Linked DNA regions of Oryctolagus cuniculus. The protein of the gene in region 1 interacts with the protein of each later gene in a pairwise test. Links are inferred from orthologs where the notes say so. Each region holds a gene or a part of one and is shown in the gene's direction. Other genes may lie near its edges.

Evidence for each region. The genes of interacting proteins can lie anywhere in the genome.
Region 2: the proteins of SH3BP5 (region 1) and TNKS interact in a two-hybrid assay, tested with the Homo sapiens proteins (2 studies listed by BioGRID and IntAct). The link is inferred for Oryctolagus cuniculus from reciprocal best matches to the Homo sapiens genes SH3BP5 and TNKS.
Region 3: the proteins of SH3BP5 (region 1) and SOS1 interact in a two-hybrid assay, tested with the Homo sapiens proteins (2 studies listed by BioGRID and IntAct). The link is inferred for Oryctolagus cuniculus from reciprocal best matches to the Homo sapiens genes SH3BP5 and SOS1.
Region 4: the proteins of SH3BP5 (region 1) and SPTBN1 interact in a two-hybrid assay, tested with the Homo sapiens proteins (2 studies listed by BioGRID and IntAct). The link is inferred for Oryctolagus cuniculus from reciprocal best matches to the Homo sapiens genes SH3BP5 and SPTBN1.

Annotation. Positions count from the first base shown.
Region 1 is NC_091435.1:150,923,715-150,928,465, reverse strand, and holds part of SH3BP5 (SH3 domain-binding protein 5), read left to right. Parts: intron 1-1,641; coding exon 1,642-1,772; intron 1,773-2,237; coding exon 2,238-2,280; intron 2,281-2,828; coding exon 2,829-3,048; intron 3,049-4,111; coding exon 4,112-4,372; intron 4,373-4,666; coding exon 4,667-4,751. UniProt on the Homo sapiens protein: Functions as a guanine nucleotide exchange factor (GEF) with specificity for RAB11A and RAB25. Inhibits the auto- and transphosphorylation activity of BTK. Plays a negative regulatory role in BTK-related cytoplasmic signaling in B-cells.
Region 2 is NC_091433.1:79,202,305-79,208,092, forward strand, and holds the start of TNKS (poly [ADP-ribose] polymerase tankyrase-1), read left to right. Parts: upstream 1-1,831; 5' UTR 1,832-1,930; coding exon 1,931-2,603; intron 2,604-5,788.
Region 3 is NC_091433.1:163,752,415-163,758,525, forward strand, and holds the start of SOS1 (son of sevenless homolog 1), read left to right. Parts: upstream 1-2,154; 5' UTR 2,155-2,772; coding exon 2,773-2,859; intron 2,860-6,111.
Region 4 is NC_091433.1:148,184,062-148,190,108, reverse strand, and holds the start of SPTBN1 (spectrin beta chain, non-erythrocytic 1), read left to right. Parts: upstream 1-2,090; 5' UTR 2,091-2,231; intron 2,232-2,772; exon of another isoform or gene 2,773-2,886; intron 2,887-3,329; exon of another isoform or gene 3,330-3,786; intron 3,787-6,047. UniProt on the Homo sapiens protein: Fodrin, which seems to be involved in secretion, interacts with calmodulin in a calcium-dependent manner and is thus candidate for the calcium-dependent movement of the cytoskeleton at the membrane.

The DNA of each region.
Region 1 (4,751 bases):
CTGCACCCACTTGGGAGACCTGGAAGAAGCTCCTGGCTTCGGATCAGCTCAGCTCTGGCCGTTGAATTCATTTGGGGAGTGAGCCAGCAGATGGAAGACCTCTCTGTCTCTCTGTCCCTTTCTCTTTGGTTTTACCTGGCTCTGTAACTCTGTCTTAAAAAAAAAAAAGGCAGTTACATACAAACACACACACACAGAGGAAGAGAGAGAAAGGTCTTCCGTCTACTGGTTCACTCCCTAAAAGGCCAGAGCTGGGCCGATTGAAAACCAGGAGCTTCTTGGAGGTCTCCCACACAGGTGCAAGGGCCCAGGCACTCGGGCCATCTTCTGTTGCTTTCCCAGGCACATTAGCAGGCAGCTGGATCAGAAGTGGAGCAGCTGAGACTTGAACCTGCACCCACACGGGATGCTGGGGCTGCACGCTGGGGCTTTACCTGCTACACCACAGCCGCCCCCCCCCCCCAACTTTTTCATGCCTGTAGTAAGCCTTTCGTGACCTGCCCTGCTAGCCTTTAGAGTCCTTATCACAACGCAGTGCGCCGTGGCTGACCGTGGCTGCTGGCCAGGAGGAGATGGCAGGACGTTGGCCTCCCAGGTGGGGGGCCTCACTCTTAACCTTAAGTTCTGGGCACAGCGGCCCCTTCCTGCAGTGTCCTGCTGGGCTCCACAGGACAATCAAGACCCCAGATCAGCGTGCGTGAGCTGTTGGTGGAAGATGGAGAGGGGTTAGGAAGCTGTCGCTGTGGCCAGGTGCTTCTCCTCTCCTCCAGGCAGGCCTTGTTCTGTTGCTTGGGTTTAGGAGGCCGGGCAGAGGGCTGGCCGGGCCCCCGTCTCTGGGTGTGTGCTATTGAGGGCCCTGGACCGATGGCCTTTGAGTCACCAGGCTTAACAAAATGTTCCCACCAGGACATCCTGCCAGAACTTTGGTCTCCTGGTCATAAACCTTTGTAAGCCTTGAAATCAGATCGGAGCGACTTGGCTTTTGTTTAACGTTGACCCTTCCAGGTCCTGGATTCTTCTGTGGCCGGCCAGCTAATTTGGGACATTTGGGAAAGGCCCAAACAACCGAAATCGGGATTGCCTCGTTGGCTACACTGCTGTCACACCTGTTTGCGTCTCTGTTTAAGATGTTTTACTTGGAAGGCGGAGTGACAGGGAGGGAGGGAGAGACCAGAGATCTTCCATCCGGTTCACTCTCCAAGTGGCTGCAACAGCCAGGGCTGGGCCAGACCGAAGCCAGGAGCCAGGTCCTCCAGGCCTGCTTCCCACATGGGCGGCAGAAGCCCGACTCCTTGGGTCATCATCGCCTGTCTTCCCAGGCGCATCAGCAGGAAGCTGGGTGGGAAGCAGAGCCGCTGGACTGAACTGGCGCCCCACGTGGGTGCCAGCGTTGCAGGCAGCAGCCTGACGGGCCCCTGTGCCTGCTGGTGCCCCGTCTTTCTAGGACTCTCCTTCCAGTTTCTCGATGGCTCTGCTCTTTGCCCTGGTGCTGCTTGGCCGTTTGTCTGCCATCAGCCCCTGCCCCGGTTTCTCTCTGCCTGCTCGTTTCCCCAAAGCGTATTTTTACAGAGTGATGTAAGGCACACCCCAAGCAGCAGCTGTTCTGGGCTTGCCCGGGCTGACCCCTGCTCTTGTCTGAAGGTCATGGAGGCCGAGCAGACCAAGACGAGGAGCGAGCTGGTGCATAAGGAGACCGCGGCCAGGTACAACGCCGCCATGGGCCGCATGCGGCAGCTGGAGAAGAAGCTCAAGAGAGCCATCAACAAGTCCAAGTGAGTCTGGTGCGGCCTTCGCCCTCTTTCTCCGGGCCACGCCAAGCCCCTGCTTCCTGCGAAATTGCTGGGCCTCCAAGAGAGAGGAGCGGGGCTGGGGATGGCCTGCCAGCCAGAGACCTGGAGCAGGGTGCACCTGCGGGGCTCCAGAAAGACCTGTCCTGGGGCCCTGGACTCCAGTTCCAGCCGGGAGGGGCCTGGGCCTGGGTGGGGTCCAGGTGCAGTGAGGGAGACGGCCTGCAGGGGGCGCTCTGGGCTCTGCTGAGCAGCAGGTGTTGGCGTCCGTGGCATTTTTGTGGGCAAGGGGAAGGTGGGCAGTGCTGCTGTGCTTCCCCCACCGCCGTGTGTACCCCGGGTGGTGGCTGGGAGCCTCGCCCTCCTTCCCCTTGGCCTCTGCTACAGCCGTGGGGGTCTCTGTCACGGTCACCAGGGTACTCTGAACGCTTTCTTCCTTGTCTTGTGTAGGCCTTACTTTGAGCTCAAGGCGAAGTACTACGTGCAGCTGGAGGTACGTGTGGCCTGGGGCTTCCTGGCGGGTGGGACTTCCTGCCCCTCGGCCCCCGCCTTGTGATGCAGCAGGGCTGTCCCAGGATGCAGTTTGGGCTGTGGTTTTCCCGGGAGCTCCTGGACTGGGCTGTTCCATCCCTTTCTGTCTTGGGCCCGGTTGTGCCTTCGCACTGTGTGCTCCTGGGACCAGCAGCCTGTGCGGGCCCCAGGATTGAAAGGCAGGCTCCCAGGCCCCGCCCTGCACCTGCTGAGTTAGAGACTCTGGGAGTGGGGCCTCCACATGAGCGCATGTTTGAGAAGTACTGTGTTGGGGGCCAAATGGCCAGGACGGCCAGACTGTTGTTCCCTGCTGGGGTGGGCTTTGGGCTGTTGGAGCCTGTCCCCTGGTGGGAGTCGGGGGGCTGATGGGAGGAATCAGGTCTTTCCTCCCTCGTGTGTTGGCAATCCCCAAAGTGATGGGCAGGGGCCGTGTGCTTGCACCTGTCACCTGTGCAGCTCGAGGTCAGCAGGGGGCGCCCTCACTCACCGAGCCTCTCCCTTCCTGTGCAGCTGCTGAAGGCGGCGGTGGACGAGCTGCAGGCCAAGCTGAGCCTGGCAAAAGGCGAGTACAAGACGGCCCTGAAGAACCTGGAGATGATCTCCGACGAGATCCACGAGCGGCGGCGCTCCAGCACCATGGGGCCCCGCGGCTGTGGCGTTGGCGCGGAGGGCAGCAGCGTGGCTGCGGAGGGCCTGGCGGGGAGCAAACCAGAGCCGGACGCCGTCTCTGGTGAGTCGGGCCGTGCGGTGCGCTCCCAGGTCCCCATCCTCTGTGGCCGGCACGGAGGGTCTCAGAGCTCAGCAGGCTACGGCTTCCCAGGATGCTGGGGTCCCGTGAGTCTGGAAGTCATCCCAGACTGGTCTCCCGCGTGGCAGGCAGGGACCCAACAGATCTGACCTGGCTTCTCATGGTGAATCAGGAGACCCCTCCGGCACTGGCCTGCACCCCTCTTTTCTGTGCTACAAGGCCCATGGGCGCTTCCCCAGGACTTCTTTAGTTCTCAGGGAAAAGGGAACCATCATCTAAGCAGCGACTGTGTGTGAATTACCGCTCATTAATCCTCCACGGAGAGAAAGCTGGAGCCCAGAGAAGTTAGGTTACCACTCAGCAAGGTGTGGAGTTGGGGTTTGGATTGAGGTCTGAGCCTGTTTTGTGTCCCCAACGTTCCTGAAGCCCTTGTCATTTGGAGTAATTCTCTGTGGGAGCTGCCAGGCTGTTTCTAAAGGCGAGGGAGGAGGAAAGACCTAGTAACACATGGGCTGTGTGCGGGCTCCAGGAGACTTGGAGACGAGGCCAGGGCCCTGCCTCTGGGCCTCGATGGTCCTGGTCCCCAGGGCAGGCGGAGCTCCAGAGCCCTGCGGAGGGAGCAAACAGGGACCCAGGTAGGCACTGAGTGCATGTTTGCGGAGCTCAGGAGTTAGCGGGGGCTAACAAAGACCCCCAGCTGCAGGCTCCGCAGGGCCAAGTCTTCCAGTGGCTCTTGCTTTTCCTGTAGGGCCAGAGGGGAGCTGGCCAGCCTGGCGTGGGCGGGGCCAGACCCCTTCCTGTGCAGCTGTGTGTCTCAGGGACACAGGTGGACAAGAGGGCCGCTCTGCCGCTGATTGCTCTTCCAGGTGGAGGGCAGGGTTACGGGTATCGCGAGGACCTCATGTCAGGGCTCCGGCTGCGGAGAGGCTTGGCAGGGCCGCAGTGTGTTCCCTGCGCTGTGTCTGAAGCAGGGCACCCTGGGAGGGGAAGTCGAAGGGGCAGGTGACCGTCAGCACCCGTGTGACTGACTGTCCCCTCGCCCCAGTGGCCTCGGAGGCCTTTGAAGACGACACCTGCAGCAACTTCGTGTCTGAAGATGACTCAGAAACGCAGTCGGTGTCCAGCTTCAGCTCCGGACCCACGAGCCCGTCGGAGACAGCCGAGCCGTTCCCTGCGGTGGCGAGGCCCGGCAGCCTGGACCTGCCCAGCCCCGTGTCCCTGTCGGAGTTCGGGCTGATGTTCCCAGTGCTGGGCCCCCGCAGTGAGTGCAGCGGGGCCTCCTCCCCCGAGTGCGAGGTGGAACGAGGTGAGTTGCAGCCTTGCCCTGTCCATGGAGCCTCGCGCTGTGGCAGGCCACTCTGTACCCTTCCACCCCTCGGCTGGGTCTCAGGGTCCCCCCAGTGCCAGGCGCCTGGGCCCCGGGTGCGCCTTTGCCGTGCTCCCCAGGGGGCTCCTGCCAGAGCCCAGGCCCTGTGCTCTCCAGGGCTCGAGTGTGGGAGCCGCCCTTTCTGTGCAGTGGGCAGCCCCTGGAGCCCCGCGGGTTGAGTGGGCCTCCTGGCCCCTGCCCATCTACTCACTTGAGCTCTCTCTATCTCCCCAGGAGACAGGGCGGAAGGGGCAGAAAATAAGACAAGTGACAAAGCCAGCCACAGCCGGGGTCTCAGCAGCGGCGGCGGCGGCGGCGG
Region 2 (5,788 bases), on another chromosome or scaffold:
ACGGGCCACTGGGGGACATGATGAGATATTCCTTAAGCTTCACATGCAAGAAGGCCACAGTCTAGGGACCACACGGTGATTTGGACAGCCACCGTGCCGTGCTGATCTTCCTCTCCCGGATGCTATCCTGTGTTCTGCAGGAAGATGTGTGGTGGACTGATTTTAATTTCACTGATGGGGGTTTTCATATGCAGCCTCAATTTTTGCAGTGTCTATTGTAAACAACAGCACACATTTGTAAGACACACGGTCAGATTTAAAACTTGTAACCTCAAGATTACGTGAAAATAAATGTCACTCATACTACATTCTTGCTTTTATTGTATTTAGTTGATTGTCCCCAACAAATTAATTCATTTACTTAAGTGGCAGTATTAATATTACACTAATTATATTTAACAATGGACACATGAAATAACTATTTTTCTCCTGGTTTAATATTCTGCTTGATCTATCTGAACTTTGCTTTTTTTCTTAGGACATGGACTTCCCATCTGTGCCCACTCTACTGGAATAATGCAGTTTGTGTCTACTTCCACGATCCCTGCTTCACCACGGAACAAGCAGTGTGAGATGGAGATCTCCAGGAGGCTATCCCATTCATGGGTACGTCTCTTTTGATGGCCAATGGAAAAAGTAGGTATAGGCAGGAGAATGAAAACATAGTTACCGAAAAGTTGCATTTATGAAGGTGTGTGAGGGACAGCGGTCAGGTTTTCATCTTAGTTTGAGGGGGAGAGAGGGGTGGGGTGAGAGTAATGGAAGGGAAGAGAGGCCAAGCTAAAAAATAACTTTCATAAATAGTCAAATTTGCTGTAGGAAATAAAAGTACAGAGGTAATAGAAGAGGAAAAATCATAATTTTAATACTTAGCACTTATGGAATTATTGTTATTCCGATTTTACAGAGGGGGCACTGCAAGACGGAGTGCTTGGTTGTTTAGAGTCTGCCCGAATTTACACCGTTAGTAAATGCCAGAGCTTGAATTCCGGTCCTGGCAATCTGAACCACCAGTTAAAAATGTTAGGTTAACAAAGTACACACATAGAGTGGGAAAACTTGTAGGGGTCAGGCCAGTCCTGCGGCATAGCAGGTAAAGCTGCCACCTGCAGTGCCGGCATCCCATACGGGCGTGGGTTAGAGTCCCTGCTGCTCCACTTCCCATCCAGCTTTCTGCTATGGCAGATGGCCCAAGTCCTTGGGCCCCTGCACCCTTGTGGGAGACCTGGAAGAAGCTCCTGGCTCCTGGCTTCGGATCAGCCCAACTCCAGGTCTTGCAGCCATTTAGGCTGTGAACCAATGGATGGAGGACCTTTCTGTCTGTCTGTAACTCTCCCTCTCAAATAAATAAATCAATCTTAAACAAAAACAAAAACAACCTTGTAGGGAAGGAACAAGAGACCAAGGGAATAACTGGGGAAGAAAGACCGCTTTAAAAAATTACCAGTGGGCTGATGACAGCTACATATTACTGACAATCGGAGCATTTTGTCTATATCAGCTCATTTAATCCTGCAGGCGATTCTGTGAGGTGGGACCTGATGATGAAAAACATTCTCTGCTTGCACCGAATTGCGCCTCAGTTGCTGACTCTGGAGCAACACAAGGAAGGCTCTAGGAGACTAGGGCACGGAACTGAGCAAGGCAAGGCAAGCAGGCGGAAGGTGGGAAATGCAGGGAGAACCTGGTTCCAGCGTTCAAATCTCTTCGCCGGCCCGCCGGGTCGTCACAAAGCCCGCCCCTCAGTCACGAAGCCACGCCCTCCGCCTCCGAAGTTCTCAGAGCTCCCAATACTTCCCTCTTTCTCTTTGACCCGCCCACCCCGCCAAGCATCAGTTCCTGTGCGCTGACTGCTGATTGGCCCAGAGGTCGGAAGTGAGGGCGGGCGGTGGGGCCGTTGCCGCAGTGACAGAGCTGGGGGTGTCCGAAGATGGCGGCGTCGCGTCGCTCTCAGCATCATCACCACCATCATCAACAACAGCTCCAGCCCGCCCCAGGGGCTTCGGCGCCGCCGCCGCCACCTCCCCCACCTCTCAGTCCCGGCCTGGCCCCAGCGACCACCCCAGCCTCCCCAACGGCCGGTGGCCTGGCCCCCTTCGCTTCCCCGCGGCACGGCCTAGCGCTGCCGGAGGGGGATGGAAGTCGGGATCCGCCCGACAGGCCCCAATCCCCGGACCCACTTGACAGTACCAGCTGTTGCAGCACCACCAGCACAATCTGTACCGTCGCCGCTGCGGCCGCGGTCCCGGCGGCTTCTGCTTCGTCTGCCGTCGGGGTCGCTCCCAATCCAGCCGGCGGTGGCAGTAACAATTCACCGTCGTCCTCTTCTTCCCCGACGTATTCCTCCTCTTCCTCTCCTTCCTCCCCTGGATCGAGCTTGGCGGAGAGCCCCGAGGCAGCCGGAGTTAGCAACACAGCGACACTGGGACCTGGGGCAGCGGGACCTGGGACAGGGGTCCCAGCAGTGAGTGGGGCCCTACGGGAACTGCTGGAGGCCTGTCGCAATGGGGACGTGTCCAGGGTAAAGAGGCTGGTGGACGCGGCAAACGTCAATGCAAAGGACATGGCCGGCCGGAAGTCTTCTCCCCTGCACTTCGCTGCAGGTCAGACTTTTGAATTACTTATTAATGGTACCGGGGTCAGGGCCGGGGGTCCGGCTATGAAAAAACAGGTAATTATGATGGGGCGAAGTGGGGGCGTGGCCACGGCCGGTCCACTCTTCGCCGGAAGACCAGAGGTTCCTTTCTTTAGGGAGCGCCTGGGTGCCAGGGGTGTGGGAGGGGAGGTGTGAGTCCGTTCTTTACTGTTTGCAAACTGATACCTCTAACGAGACTCCCTGTAGTCGCAGGCGCGGGATAGTTGGAAGTACTTAAACTTTTTCGTTCCGAGTGTACAGGAATAAAGTTAAGATTTGGGCGGCTTTGGAGTCGCTTTGTCGTCGCTGTGGCCAGTTTGTTTTCAGAATAAGGGTCTGTCCCTTGAGGACGGTCTAGATCGGAAGAAGTTTAATGTAACTCCGCAGGCGTTTACAGATTTTTCCTGTTGATCTTCGTAAAATACATTAATAAAAGACATAACCGAAGTTTTGGCACCTCCCTCTTTTGAAGAAGTTTGCTGTACAGTTGAGACCAGAATATGCCTGCATGAAACAACTGGGAGAAAAATATTTGGATGCATTATGTGACAATGGAAGAAATACAGGCTTTGAAGTTTTGTTATTTGTCTAGCAGGCCGTTTACCTTAAATCTCATGGGCAAAAACAGATTAAGGTTATTTGAAGATCTAGTAAGGAGTATGCGGCATATGACATCTAGGAAAAAAGTGGGAACTCCTAACTCTGGGTACTGCACTTTATCTGCCTCTCCCTCCCTCTCTCCCTCCCTTCCTTCGTCCTCCTTCTTCTCTCTCTCTCTCTTGTTTAGCAAGTTGTTGATTATTTTCTTTTAAAAACACTTAATATATTTTTATAAATTACAGGGACATATAGAACAAAGACAAAAAATTAAACATCAGAAATATTACACTGAAATTATACACCTTAAAAACACATTACAAAATCCAAGTAGGACAGAAAGATATACAATGAAAAACACCACCCCCACACAGAAACATCAAAGCTAACACACCAAAGATACCCTCTGTTAAGTTTCTTGCTACATTTCTGATATAAGTCACTCCTTCAATTTGTTCTGTTAATAGTAAACATGTAAAGATCTCACTGTATTATTCATTCTTACCACAATTTGGGAAATAATATTATCCTCATTTTACAGGTATTAAACATGTAGCACATCTTGTTTAAATTTGCATTCACTCAGGAGGTGGTTGAACCTTAAGTTCAAGCACTTGGGTTCTAGAACTTGTGAAATCAAGCTTTAATGAGCATACACTGTCCCTGATTTAAAGTCACTTTTCATTTTGTGAGTAATTATAGTGCAGGTTTTCTGATTTTCGTGATCTATTAGGAAGAGAAGTAATAGTGAGCTTACATGTAAGAGTAACTTTCACTATTTTTTTAAATTGCAGTCCATACTTAGAAATACACACAAAGTTTCATGAAACTGTACTTCCCCTTACTACATGTGCTATGCTCTGATATTTTACGTTGTATTCTATTTCATTTCATTTTTAGCAACTACTGCTTGTGATCCATTAGGTGGGTCCTGACCAGTGGTGTGGGAAATACAGGAAATCGTTATTAGATCACGATCCATTCTTCATACATCGACACTGCTCTCAGGAGTGCAGTGAAGCGAATCATAAACAGGCTTGCATCCAACTAGGTACTCCTTCGAGGGTCTTGCTTGTTTTAAATGAGATACCATTGCTCTGTCTTCACGCTAAATGAAAGCTCCATCTGATTTAAAAAGTCAACCCAGATTTGTTCTTTCCCATACTTTATTCCAAATCTGATTATTTTAACATTGCTTCACAAATTTTAGCATTTCTAATTTTACTTCCATTTGACTTCCTTATAAGTAATCACTAACAAATGTAATTAGTTTTATTTATTTGTATATTAGTATATTTAGGATTAAAACTTAGGGCTAGTCACACTTAAAATAGAGCTCGTCTTCCAAATCGTCTTCTGTCTGCAATGAGTTACTTTTAATTTTGTTCTAGAGTTTTACGTGTACCTGGATAAGCTAGAGTGCAGACAATAGCAGTCCTGTAATTGGGTTGTAGCTATGAGAACCTCACTTTGAACTTTTTTTTTTTTTTGACAAGAAGAGTTAGACAGAGAGAGAGAGACAGAGAGAGAGAGAAAAACGTCTTCCTTCCGTTGGTTCATCCCCTAAATGGCTGCTGCAGCCGGTGTTGCACTGATCTGAAGCCAGGAGCCAGGTGCTTCTTCCTGGTGTCCCATGCAGATACAGAGCCCAAGCACTTGGGCCATCCTCCACTGCACTCCCGGGCCACAGCAGAGAGCTGGACTGGAAGAGGAGCAACTGGGACAGAATCCGGCGCCTCAACCAGGACTAGAACTCGGAGTGCTGGTGCCACAGGCGGAGGATTAGCCTAGTGAGCTGTGGCGCCGGCTGAACTGACTTTTTAATAAAAATGTGAAAATATTTTTAGCTCATTTGAGGAAAACAGGCAAAATAATAACAAAATTTTCTAAGATATAAAAACGTAACACTGTAGTCAATTTACCACTTTCATGTTTATATGTATAATATTGAAGTTTTCTTAAATCTGTCCTGTCAGGCTGAATAGTTAGAAGTAATTCTTTGTGTGCGTGTTTTTTTTTAAAGTATTTATTTGAAAGACAAAGTGGCATGCCAACACACACACACGCACACACACGCACAAAGAGAGATCTTCCAACTGCTAGTTCACTCCTCAAATACTGCAGGCCTAGGCCACGGTGAAGTCAGGGGCCTGGAACTCCATTTGGGTTTCCCACATGGGTGGCAGAGCCCCCAAGTGCTTGAACCGTCGTCTGCTGCTTTCCAAGGTGTGTTAGCAGGGGTCTTGATGGGCACTTGAACTGGCACTGCCGTGTGGGATTCTGGCTTCCCAAGTTTGCTTTCCCCATGTACCGCAATGCCGGCCCCAGAAATAATTCTTAATTGACAGTTACTTGGTTATTGTGATAGTGGATAGATCACTCTTGTATAGACACTACTGTTAGTAAGGTAATCATGAAATAATAGTTTTGGGAAGTTGAAGTTGGAACAATTCCTTGGATAGAAAGCTTTAACAGTTATAGTTCATTTGCTCTACAAATATTTAATACTTTAAAGGTCAGATGTTACAGTTTTGGAGAACAAATGGTTCTTACCCA
Region 3 (6,111 bases), on another chromosome or scaffold:
ACAAGCAAAATTGAGGCGTGTAATTAGCCAGGGCTTGCGGTGCTGGCTGTTAAAACCAGCCAAGTAGGCCGGCGCCGCGGCTCACTAGGCTAATCCTCCGCCTGCGGCGCCGGCACACTGGGTTCTAGTCCCCGTCGGGGCGCCGGATTCTGTCCCGGTTGCCCCTCTTCCAGGCCAGCCCTCTGCTGTGGCCAGGGAGTGCAGTGGAGGATGGCCCAAGTGCTTGGGCCCTGCACCCCATGGGAGACCAGGAGAAGCACCTGGCTCCTGGCTTCGGATAGTGGCCATTTGGGGGGTGAACCAGCGGAAGGAAGACCTTTATCTCTGTCTCTCTCTCACTAACTCTGCCTGTCAAAAACAAACAAACAAAAACAAAACCAGCCAAGTGAAGAGTTGGGACTGAGACCTAGAAATGAGCAAAGATTTTGCAGTAGGAAAGAGGATGGGGTTTTCTAGCAAAAGGCAGGAGACTAATGTGCTCGGAGAGTGGTGGGGAAACGCAGAGAATATAAATGGCCGGGTGCACGGCTTTGTGGGATACCATGAGAAGTTTGAAATGTATTCTTTTTGACAGGCAGAGTTAGACAGTGAGAGCGACAGAGAGAAAGGTCTTCCTCCCCTTGGTTCACCCCCCAAATGGCTGCTATGGCCGGCACTGCGCTGATCCCAAGCCAGGAGCCAGGTGCTTCCTCCTGGTCCTGGTCTCCCATGAGGGTGCCGGGCCCAAGCACTTGGGCCATCCTCCACTGCCTTCCTGGGCCACAGCAGAGAGCTGGACTGGAAGAGGAGCAACCGGGACAGAACCGGCGCCCCAACCGGGACTAGAACCCGGTGTACCCGCGCTGCAGGCGGAGGATTAGCCTAGTGAGCCGCGGCGCTGGCCTGAAATGTATTCTAAGAGCAACGAAGAGCCAAGGAATAGTTGGCAGCAGACCACCAGTGTAGGCTCACTCCTTTAGAACCACACAAAGCCTTTTCACCTATATCAGCCCTGTAGGTAGTGGAAGGGGTCTAACACGTTCTCCACTGAGACGCCCCCAACTCGACTCCAAACAATGTAGGTTCTCCTCTTCCAGAGGACTGACTGACGGGTTTCAAAATGTCACTGAACACTTCTGAAAGTGTAAATCAGGCATGCCCATTTTTAAAAGGAAAAAGCCCAAGACTTGATTCAGATTCTCAGAGAAGTTCTGTAAAGATTAAGATGCACCGCTTAAACATTTCTCAGCTTTGGGATCCTGGCTATTGTTCCATGGACCAGCAGGACACAAATGCCAGCTCAACCCAGGCTAGTCCTCTGCACTGTCTTCTCTGTGAAATGAAAACATGATTGCTGTGAGGGCTCAGGGAGCGATACTTTAGTGTTTAATGAAAACCACGAGGTGTCTACCCAACAGTGGTATTGGAAACCAACATCTGCAGCCCTGGAACCGAGGGACAAATTTATACACTGCACCTTTAGCATTCCACAAGCATTCCCTGGAGAAAAAGATCTGCCTTGCAGGCGTTCACGATCTAACCAAAATGCCGGGGAAGATAGAAAACGCAAAACAGACCAAGTGAGGTTCTCTGGAACCTGGGAACCGCGTATGATGTCCCACTTTCCAGGGCAGGGAAGCACTGACTGGAGTTGGTTGTCTGATGTGGGTTTGCGCAGGCTGAACCTGAACACCCATTCTACCCTTGCTGTGGAAAGGCCGGCTGGAAACATCGCAGTCGCTTCTGCCACCTGACAAATACTGAGCAGAGGGAAACCTATCTTTGTGCAGTCTGTTTACTATACGTTGCACGCTCCGAGCAGCCCTTATCCTCATGGTCGGGAACAAAGTACACACACAGACCCAGACACACACACACACCCCTTTCCGAAACCAAGGCCCGGGGACTCCAAGAGAGGGGTGGGATCCCTCGCGGCGCGGCCACACAATGGGGGCCGTCTCAGCACAGCTCGCCTCCCACCCCCACCCGCAGGCCCCATTCGGCCAGGGTTCGACTTCTCGGGCCCCACCGCCCCTCCCCTGCAGCCCCCGGGAGCGCAGCCACAGCCGGGCCCGGCGCCCTCCCTCGCCCTCCCTCCTTCACCGGGAGCCGGAAAACCCGGAGGGAACCGGCCCAGCCCGGCGGCGCATGCTCAGTAGCGCGCAGGTTCAGTTCGCTAGTAGGAAGCTCCAGCGCTGCACCGGCGGCGGCGGCGGCGGCGGCGGCCGCGGTGCAACCCGGCGGCCGGAACCCCAGCGGCGACTTCGGGCCCTTCCTCGCCCCCGAGCTCCCTCCCGCTCTAAGACTCTAGCGTGTCGAAGTCCTCGCTGGGCGAGCGGGCGCCGCGGCAGGAGCGCCCCTCCACACGCCCTCCCCCTGCCGCCAGCTCCTCGGCCGGGCAGGCCGGGCCCGGAGCGGAGCGTAGCCCCGGCAGCGGGCGGGCGGGCGGCGGCCGCGGCGGAGGGCAGCTCGGGGCGGCGCCGGCGGGCCGGGGAGGGGCGGGGGGCCTGGCCCCAGGGCGGTGGTGCGGCCGGGATGCCGCCGCCGCCGCCGCCACCTCCGGGCCGTGTTCGCTCTCCGCGGCTGGTGCCGGTGTCGGGCGGGTGGCCGCGCGCGGGCCTCGTCCCGCAGCCGCCTCTCCGGGGCTAGCCCGGCCGTGCGGCGCCCCGAGGGGGCCGGGCCGTCCGGAGGGGCCGCGGCCCTGTTCCGCGCTGCGAGCTCGCCCTCTCGCGGCTTCCCGGCCGGGCCGTCGCCGCCGCCCCTCTCCCCGCCCAGAGGCGCCCCGGGGGCACCATGCAGGCGCAGCAGCTGCCGTACGAGTTTTTCAGCGAGGAGAACGCGCCCAAGTGGCGGGGGCTGCTGGTGCCTGCGCTGAAGAAGGTGAGGAGCGCGGGGAACCCCGCTGCCCGGCCGCAGCCCCCGAGGCGGGCGCCGGGTCGGAGCCCGGCCGGGGAGGCGGGGCGCGCGCGGGCAGGGCCGCCTTTCTTCCCGGTCCCTCCGCAGCCGGCGGGCGCTCGGCGGGGACGTGCCCCGGTGTGTGGGAAGGCAGGCCGCGGGGAGAGGGTCGGAGACAGCAGTCGGGGGAGCCCCGGGGTTCAGCGGAGGTCAGCGCAGGCCACCCCTCCTCCTGGCCGGTCTCTTTGCCGAGCTGCTGTCAGCCTCCCGGTTGAAGTGTCCGGGACGCTCCTTTCACTGGCCCGATAACGCTCTGGCCATCATGTTTGCTGCGAGCTTGCCTGCCGGCGGCAGCATGGCCTGCTTTGCTCCCTCTGCGTTCTCCTGGGCACCCCCTCCGATTAACGAGGAGCTGCTACACATGCCAGTATTTTCAGACTTATTATTTTTTGACGGTTGAAAATCTTGGTGATGTCATTTGGGTTAGAATTTTTAACCTCTGTTTTGTATGTTTACGTTGGCCACATTGTTATCTAAAGTTATATAGGAAATGTTGCTACATTTTGTTTGTAAAGCAACGTTGTGACAAACACTGCACGTTAAAAACATCAGAAACTGGTGTGTGAGTTTAAAAACAACTGGACTGTTTTCGTTTCCTTTTCTTCATTTCTTCCTTTTCTGGTGGGGTGGCTTTATGCTTTCAACTGTGTGTCTAAATCCCAGTTTCTTGTTGCCCAAAGAATGTTTCATGAGATCTGGTTAAAATACAGCTTTGCTCCTCCTGAGGGCTGGGGTTATGGTTAGTCTTTCATGGTAAACATTTCCACTTGAACACAGTGTCTTAAAAGGTGTCTGAGTTTATCCAAGGCCAGAAGCTTTTACTTTCTTTTTTTGCCCTGGTCTCCCCCTCCCCCTTTTGCAGTCTTACAGTGGAACCTACTTAGTTAGCAAAATCTGCTCATATATTAAGGATTGAACTACCAACTTTTCCCCCTCAAATGTTTGGCTAGTCATTAACATCTCTTTGGTGTTTTCTAATAAAGTGTGTTTTGTGTGTGTGTGTGTGTGTGTGTTATCGGTATACTTCATTCATTAGAACTCCTACCAGGTTCTCCATCTGTTTAGTTGTGCTTTGCCTGCAAGTGTGTCTTCTTGTGATAGAAGGGGAGTAGGAGGTCACAGTGGTGCTAGAAGCTGGTGTTCCATCAGGGTAGAGGAAAATAAAACAGTTGTCTGAAAACATACCCAAAAAGCCTCATGAAGCATTACTCACTTGGGGTCATTTTGCTTAGAAGCTTACAGGTCCCATCCCAGGGGAACCACCGGTCTGTGGGTTGAGGATCCTTGGAAGTAGTGCAAAGAATGGCATTAGAATTGGCAGACTCACTGTCTGCCACGTGGGGGGCCCTGCTGGGATCTGTCCTCAGAAGAGTTTTGTTTGGCTGGCACAGTGTTGTTTATTGTTAAGTGTTTACACATGGGAGATATTACACAAAATCTGAATTCACAGCTTTTGTTGAAGAAAAATCTCTCCACTCAGGTCCCACGTGAAAAGCCAGCCAGTGACCTGCTGCGGGTGCATGGATAGCTGCCGTCTTTAGACAGGTGCACATTGGCGTTTACAAAGTCCTCAGCAGTCCCCTTTGCTTGTTTACATAAAACAATGCTTAGGTGTTTATTGACTTGAAAGTTTGGGCAGTGGAGAGAGAGGGAGAGTGAGAGAGAACACCTTGCTCTCCTCTGCTGGCTAACTTTCCCAGTGCTCATAATGGCGAGGACTGAAGCTGGGAGTTGGGAGCTCCAGGTTTCCCATGTGGGTGACAGGAACCCGATTACTTGAGCCGTCACAACTGCCTCTTGGAGTCCATATTAGCAAAAGCTGGAATCAGAAGCCAGGGCCTGATATTGAACCCAAACTCTGGCTTAGCAGCTAGGCCAAACGCCCACCTCTACACAAAGGGGCTTTTGACTCTAACAGAGTTGCCCTTGGAATAGAAATGATGGGAGGAGGTAGAAGTGTACAGTCTGACTGATAAATGTATCTTCCAATTCTTATCCAACTGTCTACCAGCAGGGAGTCTAAGCCACCTAAGACAAAGTTGAAAATATGTTTCATATCTACATGCTCTTGGTAGTTCAACACCTGTATTTGCACCTGCTTGCTGGACATTTTCTGTGGATATCTTCATAGCTGGAACTCTTCCTTCAGACTTATGAGACTATTTTATTTGTATATGTGCCCACCTTGCAGTCTGTTACCTGAGGCTCCTTGGGCCTCCTATTCCTGGTGCCTGGACTGCCCTCGTTACCTGGCGCAACACCGCTCATCCTTCAGGGCTCTGTAAACCTCAGCTTTTCTCATCTCCTCAGGACTAACTTGGATATCAGTTTTTTGTTTAACACCCTGTCATAGCTCAAAAATTATTTATGTTCACTTTATTTGAAGGACAGAGAGAGAGAGAGAGATCTTCCATCTACTGGTTCACTCCCCAAATGCTTGCAAACAGCCAGGGCTGGGCCAGGTCAAAGCCAAGACCCTGGAACTCCTTTTGGGTCTCCCAGTTGGTTAGCAAGGACTCAGGTTCTTGAGCTACCATCTGCTGCTTTCCAGAGAGAGCATTAGCAGGAGGCTGGAATCAGAAGCCGAGGAACCAGGACTTGACCAGGCACTGTGATTTGTGGCATGGGCATCTTTTTTTTTTTTTTTTTTTTTTTAATAGATTTATTTGAAAAACAGAGTTACAGAGAGAGGTAGAGACAGAGAGAGAGGTCTCCCATCTGCTGGTTCACTCCTTAAATGGCTGCAACAGCTGAAGCTGCGCCGATCCAAAGCCAGGAGCCAGGAGCTTCTTCTGAGTCTCCCTTGTGGGTGCAGGGGCCCAAGGACTTGGGCCATCTTCCATTGCTATCCCAGGCCACAGCAGAGAGCTGGATTGGAAGTGGAGCAGCCAGGACTAGAACTGGTGCTCGTATGAGCATCTTAACCACTGTGCCAAATGCCTGCCCCCCCCCCCCCATGCCAGCTCTTAACAGTGACTCTTAAGTTCCTAATTATGTGTCTGCCTCTCCTCACCAGAATGGACTGATGCTTCTCCAGAGCAGGCATGCCTCGCCCTCCTTTGTCCAGCCTGCCTGTAGTGCTCTGTGAGGCATTCAGCTTGGGTGGATGGGTGAAAGAATATCCAAAATAAATCATTGCCCCTTCCCATGTCCTTTTACAAATTTGCTTTGTTTATG
Region 4 (6,047 bases), on another chromosome or scaffold:
TGCCTTTCACAGAGATGTCTTTTCTGACAATCTCTGTAGATTCAGACTCTGCATAACTTCTTTTTGGTCAGTGGTACATGAGCTCGCCTGGGTGATGCTTTCCACCCAAGGCTAAGAATTTCAGGTAACCATAATCAAACTTGGGATCTTTGTCTTTCACATCCCTGGCCACATCACAGTGGCTCTTGACTAGAGTACTGGGCTAAAGTTGCATGTGGTCGTCCTTTCTGAAGGAAATCTTAAAAATTTCAGTGGGGGTGGAACAGAGTAGGAGAAGTGAGTCATCTATCCAAGTATTTTAGCACTGTTATGTCATTAAGGGAAGCACTTAAGAATTACCACTTCAGGATGACATGGGAAGAATTTAAAAAGAGGTCCTTCTCAGTGTGGTCAGTGTGGTCCCTTTTTTTTTTTTTTTTTTTTGTATTCTGACATGGTGGGTGGGGACGGAGGTGTGGGGGTGCCATGGTGACAAATAAGTAAGTGAAAGGGAAAGGACTTTCATTTCTAGTGGATTTCCTGTATTACCTAATGTAGGGAGCAGCTCACATGTGGATTCTGCTCCATCCAACGAATATTTCTTGAGTACCTCGCCCTTGGCGACCTTGTGACCTTCTGAGCAAAATGTTAAATGATTTGCCTTCCTCATTTTAAAAATATATATCTAAAGCAAACATTGGCACAAACATTGACACCGATGATAAAGGCCTGAAAGGGGAGAGTCACGTCCAATTTGCCGTGATGATTCTGTTTAGCCTTATTTGTAAATATCAACCCATCAGGCAGGGTTCTGTTGATCTGAGAGAGGCATGGTCCAAACCATGGAACCCTCTCACATTCTGTTCTTGGGTTATCGGGGTGGGGCGGAGGGAGAGCCCTGGCGTTCGTCAACCCACTTGGAAACCCACGGTGGGCACCTTACAGAGCAGTCAGGATGTCACTTTCCCCAGACCGTGTTTTCTACAGAGCGTTTTATCCGTGGTCACGGTGATGCCACCATCTTTTCTACTCCGATAGCAGCGGTTCCAGAATTCCTAACGTAGCCTTGAGGCTGATGGGGTGTGACAGCCCGTGGGGGCAGGGGCGCTGGCCCTTGACAGACACTCGGGGAAACGTCTCCGAGAACACGGACGGGAGCAGTGCCAGTCCTCGAACCGACGGAGGTCGCCCACCGGCGCCAGGGCGACCCTACCGAGAGCAGCCCCAAAGGGAAGTGCACCTGGCTTCAGGTTGCAGGAGAGCCTGCGCGCCGGCGGCAGAGGCAGGAGTCGGGCCAACCACTTGTGGGCTGTGCTACTAAGGCAGGTGACAAAGCACTGGCAGAGGAGGACCCCATCATCCTCGCCCAGAAACTCCTCTCCCTCCCGCAAAGCTCAAGGGTTCCCACCGAGATGTCGCCGCCATCCTGTAAGCCGGGCGAACCCAAAAGGCGTCGCCACCCAAATCCAGGAGCTGCTGAGCCAACGCAGGTCCCAGACCTGCCTAAACACGCCGTCCCGGATCGTGTCCTAAACGCACACAGCGCGGGCGCAAAGAGGTTGCACGAGTCACGAGAAAATTAGGCTGCCCCTTTCCATGGCGATAATCGAATTAGCCTCAAATTAAACGTGAAATTGGCCCTCGCACGCTGTGGGGACAAAGCCCTCATTGTCCTTCCGCGCGGGTAGCAGCGGCAAGCCGTGCCCACCCCGTCCTGGCTGGTCCCCGCCGCCGGGACCCGGAAAAACCTCGGCTTGCGTGCGTGGACGCGCCTGGCGGTCGGCTCCCGCACAGAGCAGGCGCCGGGTGGGCGGCGGCGGGGCTGCGGACCGGAGCCGCGGGCAGGCGAAAGGGAGGATCCACGCGAGCGAGGGAGGCGGCGGAGAGGCGGGTGCAGGGCGTGCGGGAGAGCGCGCGCGTGCGCGCCCGCGCCTGTGCCCGCGCTCCCTCTCCCCGCCCCTCGCCCCCTCCCTGCCAGCTCCCTCCTCCCCCCGCCCCCCGCGCTCCCGCCCAGCCCCCGGAATCAGTGCAGCTGTTGCCTTGCAGGCTGCGGATTCCTCCAGTCCCTCCCTCGGCCGCCTCTCCTCCCGGAGCGAGCGCGCAGACCCGCGCCGTAGCGCCCACCGGTCCCGTCCTGTGAGCCCCGGCCCCAGCCGCGGACAGCCCCGCGGAGTCGCCTCCCGGCCCACCCGCCCGGCCGCCGAGGAGCGGGAGGAGGACGGGACCCCGGCGCCCCCACCCCATCCCTGGAGGTAGGTAGAGGCCCCCAGGCAAGAAGATGCCAACTCACTGGGGCTGCCTCTCGGGCGGGCGGGAGGAGGGGCGCGGGCCCTGGGCCGGAGGACGCCGCTGCCCTGCGCCCCGGGAGCGGCGTGGGGGCGGGGAGCCTGCAGAGTCCGGGCGGGGGCGACGCGGGGAGCTTGGGTCTCCGGTGCTCGTCGGTGCTAGGGTGATGCGGGGCGGGGGGCGGCGAGCTCCGCAGTGAGGCGGCCACACACACCCGTGCTCGCTCCCCACCTCCCGGTCCGCAGCGCCGATCCCTCCTCGCCGCCGCCGCCGCTCCCTCCCTCCCTCTCTCCCTCCGGCGGGGCGCCGCAGCCCCTGGCCCGGGGCTGGTGCGGGATTTTCTGGTGGCCTCGGGCCGGGCGGGTGGGGAGCGGGGGCGGCGCTGACAGGGCCCGGCTGCGCGCGTAACGGTACCGGCGATGCGGCCAGGCGTGGTCCGGGCTGCGCCGCGCTGCAGCTGAGCCGGAGGCGGCTGCCGGCGTCCTCCCTCGCGCCCCCTCCTCCAGCCCGCCGCCCCCTCCGCGCCCGCCCCCGCTCCCCCAGGGCTGGGCGGGAGCCTCCTCGGGGCGCGGAGCCGCCGCCGCGCCCGCCCTGCAGCTCCTGCCACCCTGCCTTCAACAGGTTTGTACCGGCGCGGGGACCCTCTGGCCTGCCCTGCGAGGTGGGCTGGACGCCCCTCTCGTCGTCACCCCCACACCACGCCCGCGGCCTGCTTTTTTTTTTTTTTTCCGGGGGGGGGAGCCTCCCTTTGTTTTTGTGGGAGGAAAGGTGCCAGGTGCTGCTATCAGATGGGGGGAGGAGCGGGGATCGGTACACCAAGCATTGTCCGTAATTTTTCTCATCCAAAGCCTGGCCAGCTAGAGAGAGAGGAGAGGGCGAGCGTGGGCAGGGGGGGAAATGGGTTCGGTGGGGTTTGTTTGGGCGGGGATGTTCCTTTTTGGCAAGATGGATGGCTCGCGTCTCTCGCCGTGATGCAGCACAATGCTGCAGTATCGCAGCTTCCCCGGGTCTCGCCGGCGGGGCTTGGCACGGCCACTCGGCGCCTGCGGCCCCCGCCCGGCCCCACCCAGGGCCCGGGCTGCCCTTGGCGGGGCCCGCGGCGCTTCTACCTCGTCATGCTGCCTCAGCTGCACGCTGAGGCGTCGGGAGGACCAGGCCACCTAGACAGGAGGGGGGGACAGTCCGCTCGGTCGGGATGACCCCCTCCCGCCCTGCCCGTTGGGCTGTGCGGGGACGGAGGGGTGCCCTGCAGCACTAATGCAGGCTGAGGGTTGCGGACCGGAATCTGATCTCCGACCAGCGGCGCCCTAGGGAGGGGCTGCAGGCAGGACAGGGCCCAGGGATGTTCGAGGACGCTGGTGCAGCTGGTGTGGGAGTCGCAGCGTCTTCCTGTGGATCGTCGATAACCTCTAACCGCAGCCCAGCTAGACATCGATTTCTTCGTATGGGAAAAGTTGCTGTTTATTAATCGGACCTGCACAGCTATGACATGACGTTTTACAATGCCCTCATCTGTCTTTGGTCGGTACAAACAGAATATGAATTTTTCCTATAGGAAACCATTTTTATAAAATGAGATGGTTAATGTATTGTGGTTCTTATGCTCCAGAGACATAAAAAAAATACTGGCGTTCAGATTCAGGGAGTCGTTTGAAAATGAATTTATGTATTTTCTGATGGGTAGTAAATGATTCCTTTAACCTGTGTTTGTTTTCACCGTTTGCGTTTTCTTTAAGTCAGATACAACTAAGCTAGTTGGATTCCTTATTAAGGAACATTAGGTAGATGAGTGATGGTAAATTGGTGTTCAGATGTCTTGATTCAGATAGCCAAGTTCAATCTCCAGGCGTGACTAATGGGATTGCGATGGTAATGGGCTGCGTTTATGTTTGTTTATATGTTTTTGGTGCATGTGTATTTTTTAGCAGATGCGACTGGGGAGGGCTCAGGAAGGGGAGGCCACCAAGGTCAGCAGATGATTCCCAGTGTTCTCTTCTGTTCCGCTGCAGCTAGTGCTCAGGGCACTTCCCCTCTACATGCCATTTTTATAATCCAGTTGTTCAGTGTGGGATTTGGCAAGTGGCATATATTGCAAATGTCAGCTCAGACTCTTCTGAGTCTGTGTGTGTGAAAAGGGAAATTTCAGACTGCTAACTGGAAGGGGAGGTCTGTGTTTCAGAGCCAAGGGTGTGCCTGCTTTTATTTATTTTTTTTTAAACTCTAATGAATCCAAGTTAATGTCCTAATGTGACTCTGCGGAGTACACATTCCTGTAAATGCATGCGCTGTATGTGCATTATTTTGAGTTTCTTTAATGGAGGGCCATTTGAAATATAGGGCTTTTTGGATTCAGGCTTCCTCATTATGCTGATTGTGAAAAATGGTACTGCATGAAGACTTCTGCGAGTATTGTTCACAAGGGTTATCCAGACGTTTTGGATTTACTATGTTGTAAGAAATATCCTGTGTTGATGTCACAGGAGGTTTAGCTGTTCTGACTTACACACCAGGTGCAGAATTCTGTTGGGTTAAGCTCTTTGTAACTCTGCCGTCCCTGGAGTGACCGACCAGACCTTCATCTGAGGGGCTGGGAAGCACAGGGACAGTGGAGGAGCCGCTGTCACTTGGCCGGCCGCACAGCTGCGGCTTTCCGTGAGGAGCATCTCTGGGGCGCACTAGGAACAACTGTGTGTCAAGTTGTAGGAGCAAGTGGGAAGACCTCACTCGGCTTGTGACGCACGCTTGGCACTGGCAGGGTTTCCTGGAAGAGTCTGAAGTACTCTCCTTTGTCTTGATTTTTCCAAGTATGACTTTACATGTGGAAGTACTATTTTGAGATGGAAGGATTTTACTACTACTGAGCAAACATCAGTAGACATGATGAGTAGATACCGTTTGATGTGGTTTTGTTGAAGTATTTTTAAGTTTTTTCATCTTCAGAGCATATTTTTAGAATTTAAACGATTTTTTGACATGCAGTGATATCATGCTCCTTTAATTATGTTGGGCATAATTAAAATTATGTTGGACATCTTCCTTGTATTTGGGTTTTATTTAATGTACTGAAGATTTCCTATGGTGGCCCTGTTTTCTTCCATCTACACTATGGGGACTGCAGATCATTCTTTTATAAGGGCTCATATCCCTGATAGGAAATCTACTTCTGTCTGTGGGAGTGGGTAAAGCATCTGCCGTGAATTTCTCTTGAAAGTTTTCAGTCTTTTTGTATTCCCACGTTAAAAGAGCTAGCTTAATATTCAGACTTTTGGGAAACATTTGTGCTGTATTCATGTTTATATACTGTAGGAATTACATCATCGATCTTTACTCTTTGGTGGGTGAGGCTAAGTTATCCCGATTTCATACACCCCTATTTCTGTTTTAAACATCTCTAGAGAAGACGTCATAACATCTCTTGCTGCCATCGTGAGGTTCACGGGCACCAGCATCAATAGCACCTGCACTTGAAGTAGATGCAGGCTCTTTCACCCTGACTCCAGTCCAACCCCCCAAAGTCAGAATCTGCCTTTTAATATGACCCCTAACTGATTTGTGTGCACGTTAAATTGAGATTGCGCTATTCCTTCAGCTACGGGACCCCAGTATAAAAAGGTTTCTTCTCGTGTCTCTGTTCTCTTTCTTAAGTGTCAGTACATTTTTTCCTGCTTGCATCATTAAATAAATGGTGAGGAAGAAAGTGATGTACCCTGTAAATTATTAAATACAGAATTACTTTATAAACCCATTTAATTTTGAGGTGGAAGAGTCATACTTACTAGAGT